Schizosaccharomyces pombe: one gene and its partners. The gene in region 1 interacts genetically with each later gene. Each region holds a gene or a part of one and is shown on either strand. Other genes may lie near its edges.

Region 1 (4,643 bases):
CCTCAAGAGAATTATTTAGTTGAATGGCTTCAATGCATTTTCCAGCTGAAGATAAAATGTCGGGGATCTTTGCTTCAAGTTCGAGGATATTTTGTACTTGCTGAGTATCAGAAGATGTTGATTTTTCACTAAAAAGATCGTCGTCACTATTAGTCATCGTTCAAATTTTGATAATTTATGTTATTGAGAGATTTATTAAATATCCAGTATTCACTCTCAATCGTACATTCCCGTCTATTCTTTAATAATTAGTTTGATTTATTAATGGAACGATTGCGCCTGCGTCCACAATTTCCAATAGCCAAAATAAATGAAAAGATATTAGAGAAAAGTGTAGTGCTGTGAAGTAAGTGCTTGCACTCGAATCTTAGCCATGTTGTAAATGAACGTATTAGGATTAATTGGTCATATATATTGGTACAATTTTTTCCTTAATTATAATATTATCTCTAAATTTGCTAAAAATTTATAGAATTGCAAACCGAGACTTTAAAAAATTTAGAAAAATGTATTTATTTTCAAATATCTAGTAACATCATCATTAAAGAAGCAAAAAATAAAATAATATATTTTAAATGAAAAAGGATAGCCAAAATTGCATTTTTTATCTATAACTCTACATCCGAACTCATTTCGATGCAGATATGTGAACATCTGATGGCTTTTCTGTCGGACGAGAACCAAATATGGAACTGCCAACACGAACAGAGTCGCTTCCATATTTTATAGCAAGGAGATAATCAGAACTCATTCCCATAGACAATTGTAAAGGGATACCGAGCTCATTTTGCAAAGACTCACGAAGATCTGAAAGAACCTGTACTGCGTTAGGAAGAGCAAAGATGAATAAAAAGGAAGAAAAAGGAAATAATCTTACCTGGAAATCTGGGTTGTGATCAGATAATTGAGAATTGGAAATAGAGCCAATAGTCATGAGGCCTTTGAGTCGCAAATATTTCATGTCTTGAACTTGCTTACAGAGTTCAAGAACTTTAGACGGAGTAACTCCTCCCTTGTTCTCCTCACCACTGGTATTTACTTGAATATAGACATTTAAGGGTAGTTGTAATGCCTCACGAGCGCTGTTTACCAAACGAGCCTTCTTTTCAGTATCAATGGTTTCAATACTGTACAAGTTTTTTACAGATGCAATTTTCTTGCACTTAGATGACTGTAAACTACCGATAAAATGCCATTGGACGTCGTCGGGCATCTATGGCACTGTTAGCCTTGTGAATGGAAATAAACAATGAGAACCACTTATTATCTAACTTAAAAAAGTGTTTTTAAAGATGGTAGGCATCAAAAAATAGATTACCGAAAACACATAATACATTCTAGCACTTACCAACTCTACTTTCTTTAGAAATTCTTGCATGTAATTCTCGCCAAAGTGCCTTTGACCAGCATTGTACGCTTCCATCAAGGTTTCAACAGGATGAAACTTGCTAACAGCTACAAGAAGAACCTAAAAGCCATTAAGGCAATTGTTAGTGATGGATAAAGCAGCAGGCGAAATTGGAAGATTTTTAGGGAATCCCAAAAATGTAAAAGTGAAAATATTCATTTTTTTAGATCTTTTCCTTCACCTCAGCTGACATAAACAACGCTATTTCAGATAAACCCATTTTAATCGAAGATATCTTTGCAACATTTTATTCTCGGCGAAGCATCATTTCCTTAAATATTATAAGCCTAAAAATAAAGTATTATATCGTCGAGTTAAATAAATCTTTCACGAAGCTTATTAGCTGAGCAGTATGACTTTATTCGCCTGGAGATCAGACATCCGAAATTCAATTTTACCAAGTACCCGAAAAAACAACCAAAATCACTCATACAAACTTACATTGCGGCCATTTGCAGATTGCTGGATTTGACTTCTAATTAAATCTAAACAGCTATGGATAGTACTCATGTTGAATGAAAGCTATTACTACTTTCTTAGTCAAATCCACCTGACAGTTAAATTACTCTGCTTAGGTCTCTTAGTTGAAATTGATTTTGAGTGATACAAAATGTGGGATAAAGAGTACTATATGGGGGTATAGCTATAGTCTCTTCTTGACTTTATTAACCTGGAGAAGCTTACAGAGAGTAATTGCTGATCAAAGTGGGAGGAAGAGGTACCAAATGGGGGTAATGATATTATATGTCACAGAAACAAGTAAATAAATAAACATTAATGGCTAAGAAACATTTAAAAAGAAATCACTAATAAAGGATTAATGTTAATTTGGCTACAAAACCGACGAATTGTAACCCATGTTGATTGACAAACCTCTCTTCTTTACAATGAGTACACAGGAGAGGAAAATATTAAACAAGAACGCTCTTTTTCTATTTTATCAAAAAAAAAAAAAAAATTCAGTTCAAATAGTTGATTGAACGAATGGAGAGTTTACAAGAGTGTTTTACTCAATGTTTAGATAATTGATACAAATATTCAATCATGGTAAAAAAGTTTCATAGTTAAAAAAGGTTTCTGAAACAATTCAAAAATCCATTGGGTTAAAAAAATTATAATAATTCAATATATTTTAAGAGAAGAAATTGCGTTGACTAATTTTCGGATGTATTCAAAGAAATCATGAAAAAAAAAACACAAAGAAATAGAAAATGAGAGCACAAGAGAATCAAAATTCTTTTAAAGAACTCATGTCCTTTAAAGAAACTCATTACTTTGTTCTAAGCGAAACGGTCGTTAGGGTTCACCATTGCTTTATTCCGTGAACAAAATTTCAAAACTATTGTACACGGGGAATCCACTGGTGTCTACAACAGGATCATTGCCAGGACGAACCACCAAACCGGTGTGCAACCCGACTTTTCTTGCAGCTTTCAACTCGTTGATATTGTCACTCAAGAAGAGCCATTCTCTAGGATTTGAGTTTCCCACAATTTTCACATAACTGCCACACTCAGTTTTAAGCCCTATAGTAGTATCGTAATATCCAGAGAAATACTTTAGAAGGTTTCCAGCATCTGAATGCTCGAAATACAATTTCTGAGCTGGAACACTCCCACTGGAGTAAATGTAAACACGCATTCCCAATTGCAAACTACGTTGAATAGCAGGAACAACATCGGGGAACAAGTGTGAAGTTAGTTCATTACTTTCATAACCTTTTTTCCAAATACGACCTTGGACCATTTTGAAGGAACGTTCTTTGCTTCCTTCAGCATGCAACTTTCGTAAATTTATCAAGGCCTCTTCAGGCGTTTTTCCAAGTTCTCGCAAGTTTTCATCACTTTCATAATTTTCATTAACATAACTTTCGTATCTTGAAGCAGCGTATGGAAACTAGCATGGGTTAAACACGATCTACATTGTTCTCAATAAAAAACTTCACTTACCAATTTGTCTTTGACAAATGAAATGCTACCCACAGTCCCTTCAATATCCAAGAGCAAATTTTTAACCATTTTTTGTAATAAAGAGATGCCGTACAACTCACTTTTCTTTTAGGACACAAGTTTTATGCAACTTTAAAGAAGTAAGATGTGCAGTAAGTAGGATTAGTACTTTGCGAATTCAGCTATGCATCACGTAAAATAATTTAAGATTACAATTGGAATTTTATTGGATTTTACTTTCTTAAACATATGGAAAAAGAATTTCAACAGCTTGCAGCTTTTTATTGAGAACATGCATTTGAATAATTATCTTATGCATGCCTGTCTTTTAGAATAGAAAATACGGACTAGTTATTTTTTAACCATTTTTTAAATTCATTAATTATTCATAGATTAATCGCGTACAATATATGTTTCTACCAAGATGTCTTTTTTTTGTGGTCAAGATTGATAAGTAGAGCTTATTACGAAACGAATAACATTTTAAGTTAAATAAATCTAAGGGATTTCATACAGACAAAGACTTTCTGTGTACGTTAAAGGAGAAAGGTGTACTAGGAGGATTATCAGGAAGCTCTTTAGCCATATCAACAGCATCAGCAGGTGAGCTCTTATTCATTACAAAAAGACCCTGCAATGAAGCCATACTTGTATTTTTTGGACACACTATATCACTTAAATCGTCAGCCATCTCTGGGGAGTGACCGTAAAAGCGAGTAAACATTTCGCGAACTTGTTCAGGTGTAGCATTTCCAAGATATGCTTTAACGTCAACGCGGCCCGGACGAACGAGAGCTGGATCAAGCTTTTCAGGATGATTAGTTGTCATAAATATAATCCTTTCGTCTGATGAAGTGACACCGTCGAGTGCATTTAACAACCCACTAAATGTAACATTGGCATGAAACCCAACTTCCCCAGATCGTTCCCTACCTTGAAATGCAGAATCAACATCCTCCAGTAAAACTACTGCCTTGGGAGGTACATTAGAAAGTAGATGGTTGAGACGATCGTCAGTTAAGCCTTTTTCAGCCAAGTTTAGAACGCATATGTCGTAGTCCAATTCACCTGCAAGAGCATATAAAAATGAGGTTTTTCCACTTCCAGGAGGTCCATAAAGAAGATAGCCTCTTCTATATGGAATTCCTCTTGTATCATACCATTGTGAATTTCGTAAAAAGTCATGAACGTCGTCTGTAATCATTTTTTTAACATTGCTTTCAAGTACAACACTAGAAAGCATCCTTTTTGATCTAGGGTGCCCGAAAGGCTTCCATTCAGTGGCC
Region 2 (4,418 bases), 2.2 Mb from region 1:
GTCACAGCAAAATGCTACGGGGGAGATGTAACAAGGAAGCAAAAGCTACTTAATAAGCAAAAGGAAGGGAAAAAGAGATTGAAGTCAGTTGGAAATGTTTCAATTGACAAATCGGTAAGTAATTACATTGCCTGAAGACTTCATCGAAATATGTTTTAAAACTATTAGGAAACACAATTTTGTGTTTTAAAATTTAAATACATTGTTGACTTCACTCAACAGCACTTATATTTCTTTATAGTCCGTGTGTGCTAACTTAAATCAGGTATTTTATGAATTTTTAACGAAGAAGCAATCTAATTGAAAAAAGTATAAATATTTTTTGGTCTAATAAAAAGTCAAATTTTCTTCTGCTAGCATTTTTTTAATACAGTATGTTTCTAGAAGTTTCGTAGAAAATCTCTTCGCAGTAGGTTGCAAATATAAATCACCACCTTTTTAATAACTAAAACTAAATAGTTTGCACAGATCTGTATATTTCGTCTGCGTAAAATCGCTATTCATTCTTCTTCTTAAAGCAACTTTGTGGTGTGAATACACTGAGGAGACTGGCAGTGAAATATCATTACTTAAAAACGATCATTGTTTTTTTTTGCACGAAATGAGTACTTACGCCTATTTTAAAATTAGCATTGATGGTAAAATTCAACCAACAATCTACTTTGAACTTTTCGACAACGTAGTTCCCAAAACTGTCAAAAACTTTGCTTCGTTGTGTAATGGGTTTGAGAAGGATGGCCGTTGTTTAACCTACAAAGGTTCAAGGTTCCATCGAGTAATTAAGAACTTTATGCTTCAAGGTGGTGACTTTACTCGTGGTAATGGAACGGGTGGAGAAAGCATCTACGGCGAGAAGTTTGAGGACGAGAACTTTGAGCTCAAGCATGATAAGCCTTTCTTGCTTTCCATGGCCAATGCCGGCCCTAATACCAATGGATCTCAGTTCTTCATTACTACTGTTCCCACCCCTCATTTGGATGGAAAGCATGTTGTTTTTGGCAAGGTAATTCAAGGAAAATCTACTGTTCGTACCATTGAAAATTTGGAGACCAAAAATGACGATCCGGTTGTACCTGTTGTTATTGAAGAATGTGGAACTTGCACAAAGGATCAGATTGAGGCACCAAAGCCAGACGTTACTGGTGATTCTCTGGAAGAATTTCCTGATGATTACGAGGGTGATAAGTCCGAGACTGCCATTTTCAAAATTGCTAGCGACTTAAAGGGAATTGCTAACAAGCAATTTGCTCAGCAAAATTTGGATACAGCCGTTGCCAAATGGCAAAAAGCTTTGCGCTACCTAATGGAATACCCTGTTCCCAACGATGACTCTAAGGAATCCCCTGATTTCTGGAAAGAGTATAATGCTTTACGATACAGCATATACGCAAACCTTGCCCTTGTAGCTTTGAAGCAGAACAAACCTCAGGAAGCTATTCGAAACGCCAACATTGTAATTGAGGCCAGTAACTCTACTGAGTTAGAGAAACAGAAAGCATACTATCGTTTGGGTTGTGCTCAAGGTCTCTTGAAGAATTTTGAAGAATCAGAGAAAGCACTTGCTAAGGCTGGTAACGATCCTGCAATTTCAAAGAAGCTTGCAGAAATTCGTCAAAAGAAAAAAGATTATAAGAAGCGCCAACAAAAGGCCTATGCTAAGATGTTTCAGTAATTCCAAATTAATCGGCGTCACGTGAATGCTGAGAAGTCAATTATGTTTTACGTTAATTTCTAGTTAGTCAATGAGAGTTTTATCGCATTTACAAAATAACCATAGAAGGTCAACTACGTTGCGAGAAAGAGTGCAAGATTTACTTATGGAGGATCTGGCTTCGTTTGTAAGACTGGTATGCCTACGTTTGCGTTTCATACAGCAAAGTATCATCATGAATAGAAAGAACTCTAGAAACAAATGTGCATCAGTAAACTCAATAAGAATATCATATTTAAACATTTAATTCATTAAAATTAAATAAGACCGTCTCTTACCAAGTGTCGAAATTACATGAGTTTCCGCATTACCCTTCCTAAGGATGAGAGTGCTAATGTGAACCCGCTAATACGAATCTGCAGTTTGCAAAACGTAAACAGATTCTGCAAATGGGTAAAAGAAAAGCAAAAGCAAAAGTGAAACCCAAAAGAAGGGCACCCCCATTAGATACGACTGTGAGTTATAGTTTAATTACGAAATTTACTAACTTTACTAGTTTACGTGCCTATTTTGCAACCACGAAAAAAGTGTGAGCTGTAGTCTGTATGCTTATTAACTACTTTCATTTTTTTTAACACTTTGATAGTGATAAACAATCAGGAGTTGGAAATCTACACTGCAAAATTTGTGGTCAGAGTCATCAATGTCTAATTACAGGTATGAAAGAGGTGTTTTATTTCAATAGCGGCACGTAAATTATTACGATTAATATTGCGGTTAATTTCTTTTATATCGTCTCTTTATCTTCTTATTTCTTGTTCTTTTATGAAATTTTCTTGTACACTTATTTACTAACATTATCAAGCTCTTTCGGCACCCATCGACGTATACAGCGACTGGATTGATGCTTGTGATGCTGTTGCAAATCAAGCTAAAGAGGTTGATAATATAAATGATCAAGAAGCCTATTCCCCTGAAGCAGCTTATGAGGAAGAAAAGGAATGATTTTTTGCTATTGGCCTAACTTGCAAAAGGAAGATTCTTTTCAGAGCTTAAATGTTGAAAGTTTCCGTTCATTTATGGTGATCTTATTTTCGTTGATGCTCAGTCGTTTCAATTAAGAGATTTCTCTGAAGCGATAAGAAGGTATTAACTACATTGCAATGAACAAGACGCTGTATTTGGCAAAACCGGACGAGCTTAGTGTATACAAATCTAGGCATGCTCTTGTATATATTTGTCCTTTTTAAAGACGTCGAACATACGAATTTCGAGATTCCATCTGATGAACCGACAATTGGACGATAGTGTTAAGCTTATTTGTTGGTATTCGGATGTACCATCAATATGGGTGTGATATCTTGCTCATTGGCAAGATAGCCATTTCATTGCTTTGTTTTTGGTTTGGTAGAATCGCTGTTCACTATGACAGGCTAAGAATTACGAGTGCCTAGAGTGTGGTTGACTTCGACCTTGTACTTATTGTATTCTCCATGTACAAAAAATGTCTAGAATGAAAGAGATATGAAAATATGTTCATGTGTTCTTACTGCATTTGATTTAAAAATCCTTACAATACAACTCATTTCTTGGTTTCTTGTGAATACAGTTGGATGAATTGAGAATTACAAGTAAAAAACATTGAAATCCAATTAAGATTGTAAGCTGCATGGAGTCCAATTGTATGAATGTGTGCTTCAAAAATTTGTACTGTCTTTCTCATTCTTAAATATAAGCAGTAATTCATTTAAAAACATCAACTTGCCCTAAAATATGTTCAATAGTTAATTGATATTCTTATTTAATTTTGCCAAGCCTGCTAGAGTAGAAATCTTTTACTGCGCTAAGTAACGCATTAATCATAATTATGTTATTATGAAATGATGTTGTAAATCTTTATTTATGTTTAACGAAATATACTAAGGTTGATAAAACTCATTTTGCTATTGATAGCTTAAAAGCAAATGTGTTATTGTGCTTTTACTTTTTACCATTTACTTGGTAAACAACTTGATAGGTAGATATTTAAGCATACATCGTCAAAAAGATGTCGCTGGTACCTGAGCATGGAAATGTGTACGTACTAAATCAGACAAATCAATTAAAAGGGTTGTTTACCATCATTCGTGATAAAACGAAACCTCGTGTATGCGCGTTCAGTTTACAACAGATTACTGAGTCAAGGTCTAAGAACTAATTGAAATGAATGTGTTAATATGTCCAAGAAATTTTAGCTTTTTCCTCTATTAATGGGGAGATAAATGTTTATCAGTGGATGATAGGAAGCATTCATTATCAGTTAGTACATTCGACAACTTCTCGTGTATTCTTTGTTGAATCTGTTATCCCTGCTAACATGATATTTAGTCTGAATTTATTTTTTATGCCAATAGAATCATTCGTTTAATTGTTGAAGAGGGCCTCAACCACTTGCCAGTGTCTTCAGCTAAGGTAACGACTGCTCAAAATGCTGAATACGAGGGTGTAATGTTTGATGGTCGTATTTGCGGCGTTAGCATTATGAGAGCTGGCGAAAGTATGGAACAAGGATTGCGTGAATGCTGTCGTTCTGTTCGTATTGGAAAAATTTTGATACAGCGTGATGAGGAAACTCATAAACCTGTGTTACACTACATCAAGCTTCCCGAAGATATTTCTAAACGCTATGTCTTACTTTTGGACCCCATGCTAGCCACTGGTGGCTCTGCTATTTGTGCTATGGAAATTCTTATCAACATGGGTTGCAAACAAGAACAAATCATTTTCC
Region 3 (5,338 bases), 510 kb from region 1:
GAGAAAGAGAATCGACAATTTTATTGGCACAAATGTTCCATACGTTCTGGTCGGCAAGCACGACAGCTGATTTAGTGGCCCATTTTTTGACATACATATAGGATCTAGTGAAGGCATGACGACCCTGAACATACTTTTGAGGAGAGGTGAAAATGCGATCTTTGGATTCTTCAAACTCTACACCAACTTTGTGAGGCGTCTCCGTTTCAATAGGAGCATAAAAGCGTTTGCCCCAACGTTGTGCAACGGCATTGGAAGAGGCGAGCGCAAATACTTTAGAGTTCCTGTGGGCGAGGGAAACGAGAGGGAAGCGAGGGGTTGCAGCGCAAAGACGAGGACCAATCATTATGAAGGAAGTTCAAAGACTAGCTAAGCGTTACGAATAGAAATCGAATCAAATCGAAGAAAAGAGAAATACAAGAATAGGCGTGTGGAACGGTTCTTACCTTTCTTGAAATTTATTTCGATACAGAAGAATCCTTATTTAAAAAGAAAAAGGAAATAGGTAAAGAAGCACAAGTAACTAAGAAGGAGAGAAACGCAATGGAACAGAGGTCCAAAAAGAAAAAACAACTATATGTGTATATATATACTTGTTTGCGGAATCAATAGACAGTCGAAAGATCACGAAAGTTCCAAGAATGAACGGGATATATGATCTCGGCTGGCCAAAAAAAAAGGGATCGACGTAGTCAATGGTGATTGTCAAAACTAGAATCAGCCGATCGACGGTAAACGGGAAGAGTAGGAAGAATGAAAAGAGAAAAAATATTTAAAAATTAAAGCAACGAAAGTTGATTAAAAAAATAATTAAAGAAAAGAAAAAAAAACCCAAGTGGTAGTGAAAACTTGCTATGGTTTTATTTTACAATGGAAAAAGCAATTCTGTTAAAAAAAGAAGAGAAGAGAAGAGGTGGATGGATGGATGGATGGATGGGGGAAATATGGAAAACTGCGAAAGCAATAACCAAGAGCAAAGAATTCAGCGCTGCCCCTCTACATATAAACTTGATGAGAGGGCGATGACACCACACATATCCACCGCAATTGCCAGTTCCCCACTGCGGAAGCCAAACCCAAGCAGACAGGAAAATAACGTAACAAAAGATGAGGCAGGATAAACCCATGACTCGTTGGTCTCATAACTGCGTCATAGGGGCAAGAAAGACAACGTGGTATGCAGTACAAGACAAAAGCTTACTTGCTGAAAATCTGGGGAAATATATACAACAGCAGTCATTCGCCAGTTCCTTAATAAACGCTCGCTAAAATGACGCGACAAAAAATGAGGAGACAGGGATGAGCAGTGCCACTCAACGGCGAGGGAAAATGGGAAGAGTGGAGAGAAAGGCGGGGTCCTGCTACAATTAGAAAGCATTTGAAGAAAAAAAAGTGGATAAAAAAAAAACAAACAAATAAACAAACATTAAGAGAGACGAATAGTGGGGAGAGTGGTACAATTAGATTGTTTCTCCCCAAGATGGATAGATAATTTTACTGGTATCTGCCCCACCTTTTCCCATTGTCTCATTGAGATCCCCTCCATTCCAGCCCCAGCATTCTTCCTCTAGTCTGCAGTATGATTTCCCTGCTCCTCTTCCTCCAAAAGTTTTAGTGCCGACTTTAGATGATGAATGGCTGTCGTTGTGTCTTCGTAGTCTAATGCACTGTATGCATAGCGTGCATGACTTCGAGCAGATTGGATAGCCTCCAAGGCGGAAAACTTGTTCAAGGGGGAGGCTTTAGTCGGTTGAGATGGCCTTGATAGAGGGGCATTTGTTCTTGTTGTGGCTAAAGTTGACTTGCTGGAAAATGCTACTGACGGATCGATGGAGGTGGAGGTGGTGGTGATTGACGTAGGGGAGGGAGGCCGATGCCCATCTGATGTTTGCTTTGACTCAGGAGATAAACTTTGGATATGCGAGGAAGAGCGAGTGGAACGAGTAGGATCTATTGTTGGCAAATTTTCGGTTATTGATGTAGTTGAGGGGAACGTGGTAGGCTCATATGAATGGGAAGGTGAATTTAGTTGTGGAGCAGCCGGTGTTGAAGACAACGATTTTACGTCTGCTTCTACATTAGGCTCGGAAGATACGGCTGCAGACTTTGTAGGAGAGATGGAGAGCGATGCTGCTGGAGATGTAGTGGGGAGAGCAAAAGATGTTTCATGAGAAGCAGAGGCATTCGTTTCAACGGCGGCTTCTTGCGTAGGTAGGGTTGTGGAATTTGTGGAAGATTGCTGTAACTCCTCGGTCGCGTGGTTTGAGGGTGTTTTGGCCTTTCGTTGGGGATTTGCGACTTGGAGCGCACGTAACTTGCAAAATTTGATTGACTTGGTAATCTACGTAGCAATAGGGGTTAGTAGGGAACAAAAAATCGTTATAAGCATCATAAAGCATCGTTGTATAATACAAACGAGAGAGAAAAATACCGATAGGAAGGAAATCCTCAGAATGGCAAAAGAAGAAACGAGTCGAAAAAAAAAACACATGGTAATGTGAATTGGAAAAGACGATTTTGTTTTTGACAAAACAAAAATAAAAAATAAAAAAATTTCCAAAGAACCTTCATTTTTTCATTTTTGTTGATCGTGGTTTTCTTTTTTTTTTCTCCTAAGTTCTGCTCGTTACTCTTTTTCATTCCGTCTCACTTGCTCTCGCTGTTTTTGACTCACGTACCTGTTCCGTAGGTGGTCCCCAGATTCTCGACAACTCTAGAAAATCTCGGGCTGCCAAATACGCTTGCACATCTGGTTTCCCGTTTTTGCTATTTCTTTCGGCCTGGACAAGAACTTCTAGGGAAAACGATTCAACATACGCCTTTGCACTAGTCTCGTCACTCACATTCTCATTCTCGCCCAAATTTTTACGTAACTACACACGCCATAGAGCGGTTAGTACCACAGAAACATTTACATAGTTGGTCTCGTAATCCAAAAAAAAAAAAAAAGAGAAAAAACCCTCGCCAACATTTAAAAAAAGGAAAAGGATGTTTTCTAAACTTACATCTTCTAAATGCTCAATGAGTGACAGCAGGAAATCCTTGCATTCGTTGGAAACACCGTGTGAGCTGGAAAGCGCCATTTGAGCTGCCCAGTATAGACCTAGTAATAGTACAAGTTAGTGAATCAAGCAAATGAATATCTCGAATGATGAAACAAATTCCTTTGTGCTTATAATAGGGTGTATTATGGAAAGTAGTATTCCCTCTAGCGAAATGTAGACTATGAAAACTTCATCAACGTAAACAAGAGAGAAAAAAGGTTTAAGTTATTTTTTTATTATTTTATATTTTTCTTTCTCCAATTTTTTTTTTCATACACCCTTCCATATTACAAATTCATCACTTAGCTACTAAACACTTACTCCAATAAGCTATGACAGGATTGTGTGCCTCAAGTTCATTGAATCGTCTCACAAACGGTTGAATGGATTGTAATTCCTTCGGTATAGTATCTATTTGTATCATATTTTGTCAAATATCTCTCCTTTCAAGTTTCTGTACTTTTGGTTTGACAGTTGGTGGATTACAGATACCAGCTACATGATATAAAAAGGTAGATGAAGGTTAGGTCTACTCAAGTATTAAAACCATCAAGTCAATTATTCAAAAAACTCTAGTACTAATAGTTTTGACGTACAAACACTTTCTTTTCATTTGAGGGGAATCAAGTCGCATCGTTTTCATCGTGCATTTTTTGTGCCCCGCTATTCAGATTTTTCTAGTGTCTTGACATACTCTACCTATTCTATATCAAAATGATGATTTCAATAAGCCTTATAACTCATTGATTGACTAAAACCTATTATTTCTTCTAAATTTTCTCGTGACATATGCTCACTCAAACCTCACACTAAAGTGGTTGTCGCCGTAAACCTCTCGATTTTTCCATTCACCAACTACTTCCCATTGCATCGATCATTTGTAGCTAGGACGTATTTCTTATTTCATTTTCGCCAAACGGTTTCTATTTTTTTTTATTTCTTCGATTTTCATTTTCCTTTCTTTCATTCACCTTACTACCCTTAAAAATACGCTGGACAAACTACACATCATTATGCTCTTCCGTATTCCAACTTTATTTACGCTCTTTTTGGCTTGCTTCAGCCTTGTATCCGGCGTCTTTGGCTACTCACCAATGTTTGGATCCAACACGATTGAGTTAAATTCCAAAAATTTTCGTAAATTTGTAAAAGCAAAGGGCCCATCTTTAGTTGTCTTTTATGCTCCGTGGTGTGGTTATTGCAAAAAGCTTGTACCTACTTACCAAAAATTAGCCAGCAATCTACATTCACTCTTGCCGGTTACTGCTGTCGATTGTGATGCTGATCAGAATAGGGCCGTTTGCTCTCAATACCAGGTACAGGGCTTTCCCACTATAAAGTTGGTTTATCCATCTTCCAAAGGATCTTCTCTTTCCTCTACTGATTACAACGGTGATCGAAGTTACAAGTCTCTCCAAAAATTCGTCTCTGATTCTATTCCCAGTAAAGTCAAAATTTTGACTTCTGAGGCAAAAACTCAAAAATTCATCCAAGATGCTCAAAACTCCTCTAAGGTAATTCTCATTTCTCAAAAAATGAAGCCGACTTTGCTGTACAAATCTCTTTCAAATGAGTTCTCGAGCTTACCTTTTTCATTTATGCCTGCAAAAGCTAATGTGAATGATCTTTTCAATATTTCTGCGTATGTTGACACCTCCGATTTACCCATATTATTCATAAAACACCCCAACAATGGAACATCTTTTTTTTCAAATTCCTTAAATCGGGATTCTATTGTTGAATTTTTACAATCTTCAATTAAAGATAATAATTTTTCAGAATACTTAGCAACTTTTTGCTCAAAAAAATCCTGCATTATTACAATTCAGGATAAGGACTCGGATTCTGGAATAGACGAATCTATTAGGAAAAAGTACCCAAAACTTCACTTTGTACGTCTTGGTCGAAATACAACAGTAGCCGAAAGACTTGAAGATACATTGGACCTTGGTTATAGTGACACTTTTCTTCTCAGTCTTAAGAAATCTCATTATAATGCTAAGCCCTATGGAAAACCTTTACGCCGTTGGTTGGAAGATATCCAAGTACAACAAGCAGGACCTTCAGTGTCTTTGCCAAATGACCTCTTATCAAAGATTAAATAAACACACTTATTGTAATGTAATTTTGCACTTTGCAGTACAATATGTTACTCTCTTTCTACTCACTCGTTCTCGTCATTGCATTTTATATTTTGTGTGAAGCTTTCCTTTACATGAAGCTTAAGCACTTTTAAAAGCTATTTTTTATTTAATTTAAAATAAAGATGTTATACATTCGTATAATTCCTTTTT

What was found. Genes that interact genetically often act in the same process or in processes that back each other up.
Region 2: mutations in SPOM_SPAC644.09 (region 1) and SPOM_SPAC1B3.02C together harm fitness less than expected from each alone (positive genetic interaction), as found in Schizosaccharomyces pombe (one large-scale study listed by BioGRID).
Region 3: mutations in SPOM_SPAC644.09 (region 1) and vta1 together harm fitness more than expected from each alone (negative genetic interaction), as found in Schizosaccharomyces pombe (one large-scale study listed by BioGRID).

The regions. Positions count from the first base shown.
Region 1 is NC_003424.3:2,686,978-2,691,620, reverse strand, and holds SPOM_SPAC644.09 (pyridoxal phosphate homeostasis protein), read right to left. Parts: upstream 1,978-4,643; 5' UTR 1,919-1,977; coding exon 1,850-1,918; exon of another isoform or gene 1,570-1,849; intron 1,469-1,569; coding exon 1,349-1,468; exon of another isoform or gene 1,214-1,348; coding exon 878-1,213; exon of another isoform or gene 818-877; coding exon 629-817; 3' UTR 501-628; downstream 1-500. Other genes in the region: mediator complex subunit Med11, read right to left, coding at 1-157; utr4 (methionine salvage haloacid dehalogenase-like hydrolase), read right to left, coding at 2,723-3,304, 3,358-3,426; bcs1 (iron-sulfur protein assembly ATPase), read right to left, coding at 3,866-4,643. UniProt on the Schizosaccharomyces pombe protein: Pyridoxal 5'-phosphate (PLP)-binding protein, which may be involved in intracellular homeostatic regulation of pyridoxal 5'-phosphate (PLP), the active form of vitamin B6.
Region 2 is NC_003424.3:4,927,199-4,931,616, reverse strand, and holds SPOM_SPAC1B3.02C (Elf1 family transcription elongation factor), read left to right. Parts: upstream 1-2,071; 5' UTR 2,072-2,100; coding exon 2,101-2,166; intron 2,167-2,207; coding exon 2,208-2,254; intron 2,255-2,297; coding exon 2,298-2,368; intron 2,369-2,516; coding exon 2,517-2,656; 3' UTR 2,657-3,445; downstream 3,446-4,418. Other genes in the region: GTPase GUF1, read left to right, coding at 1-114, 266-304; cyclophilin family peptidyl-prolyl cis-trans isomerase Wis2, read left to right, coding at 602-1,672; SPOM_SPAC1B3.01C (uracil phosphoribosyltransferase), read left to right, coding at 3,699-3,797, 4,019-4,418.
Region 3 is NC_003424.3:2,176,015-2,181,352, forward strand, and holds vta1 (Vts1 family protein), read right to left. Parts: upstream 3,524-5,338; 5' UTR 3,469-3,523; coding exon 3,366-3,468; intron 3,212-3,365; exon of another isoform or gene 3,104-3,211; coding exon 3,006-3,103; exon of another isoform or gene 2,874-3,005; coding exon 2,679-2,873; exon of another isoform or gene 2,342-2,678; coding exon 1,568-2,341; 3' UTR 974-1,567; downstream 1-973. Other genes in the region: glycerol dehydrogenase Gld1, read right to left, coding at 1-346; mpd1 (thioredoxin family protein), read left to right, coding at 4,058-5,149. UniProt on the Schizosaccharomyces pombe protein: Has a role in the formation of the multivesicular body (MVB). Required for the sorting of lipids to form intralumenal vesicles and for fluid-phase transport to the vacuole. Required for sorting several plasma membrane proteins into the MVB.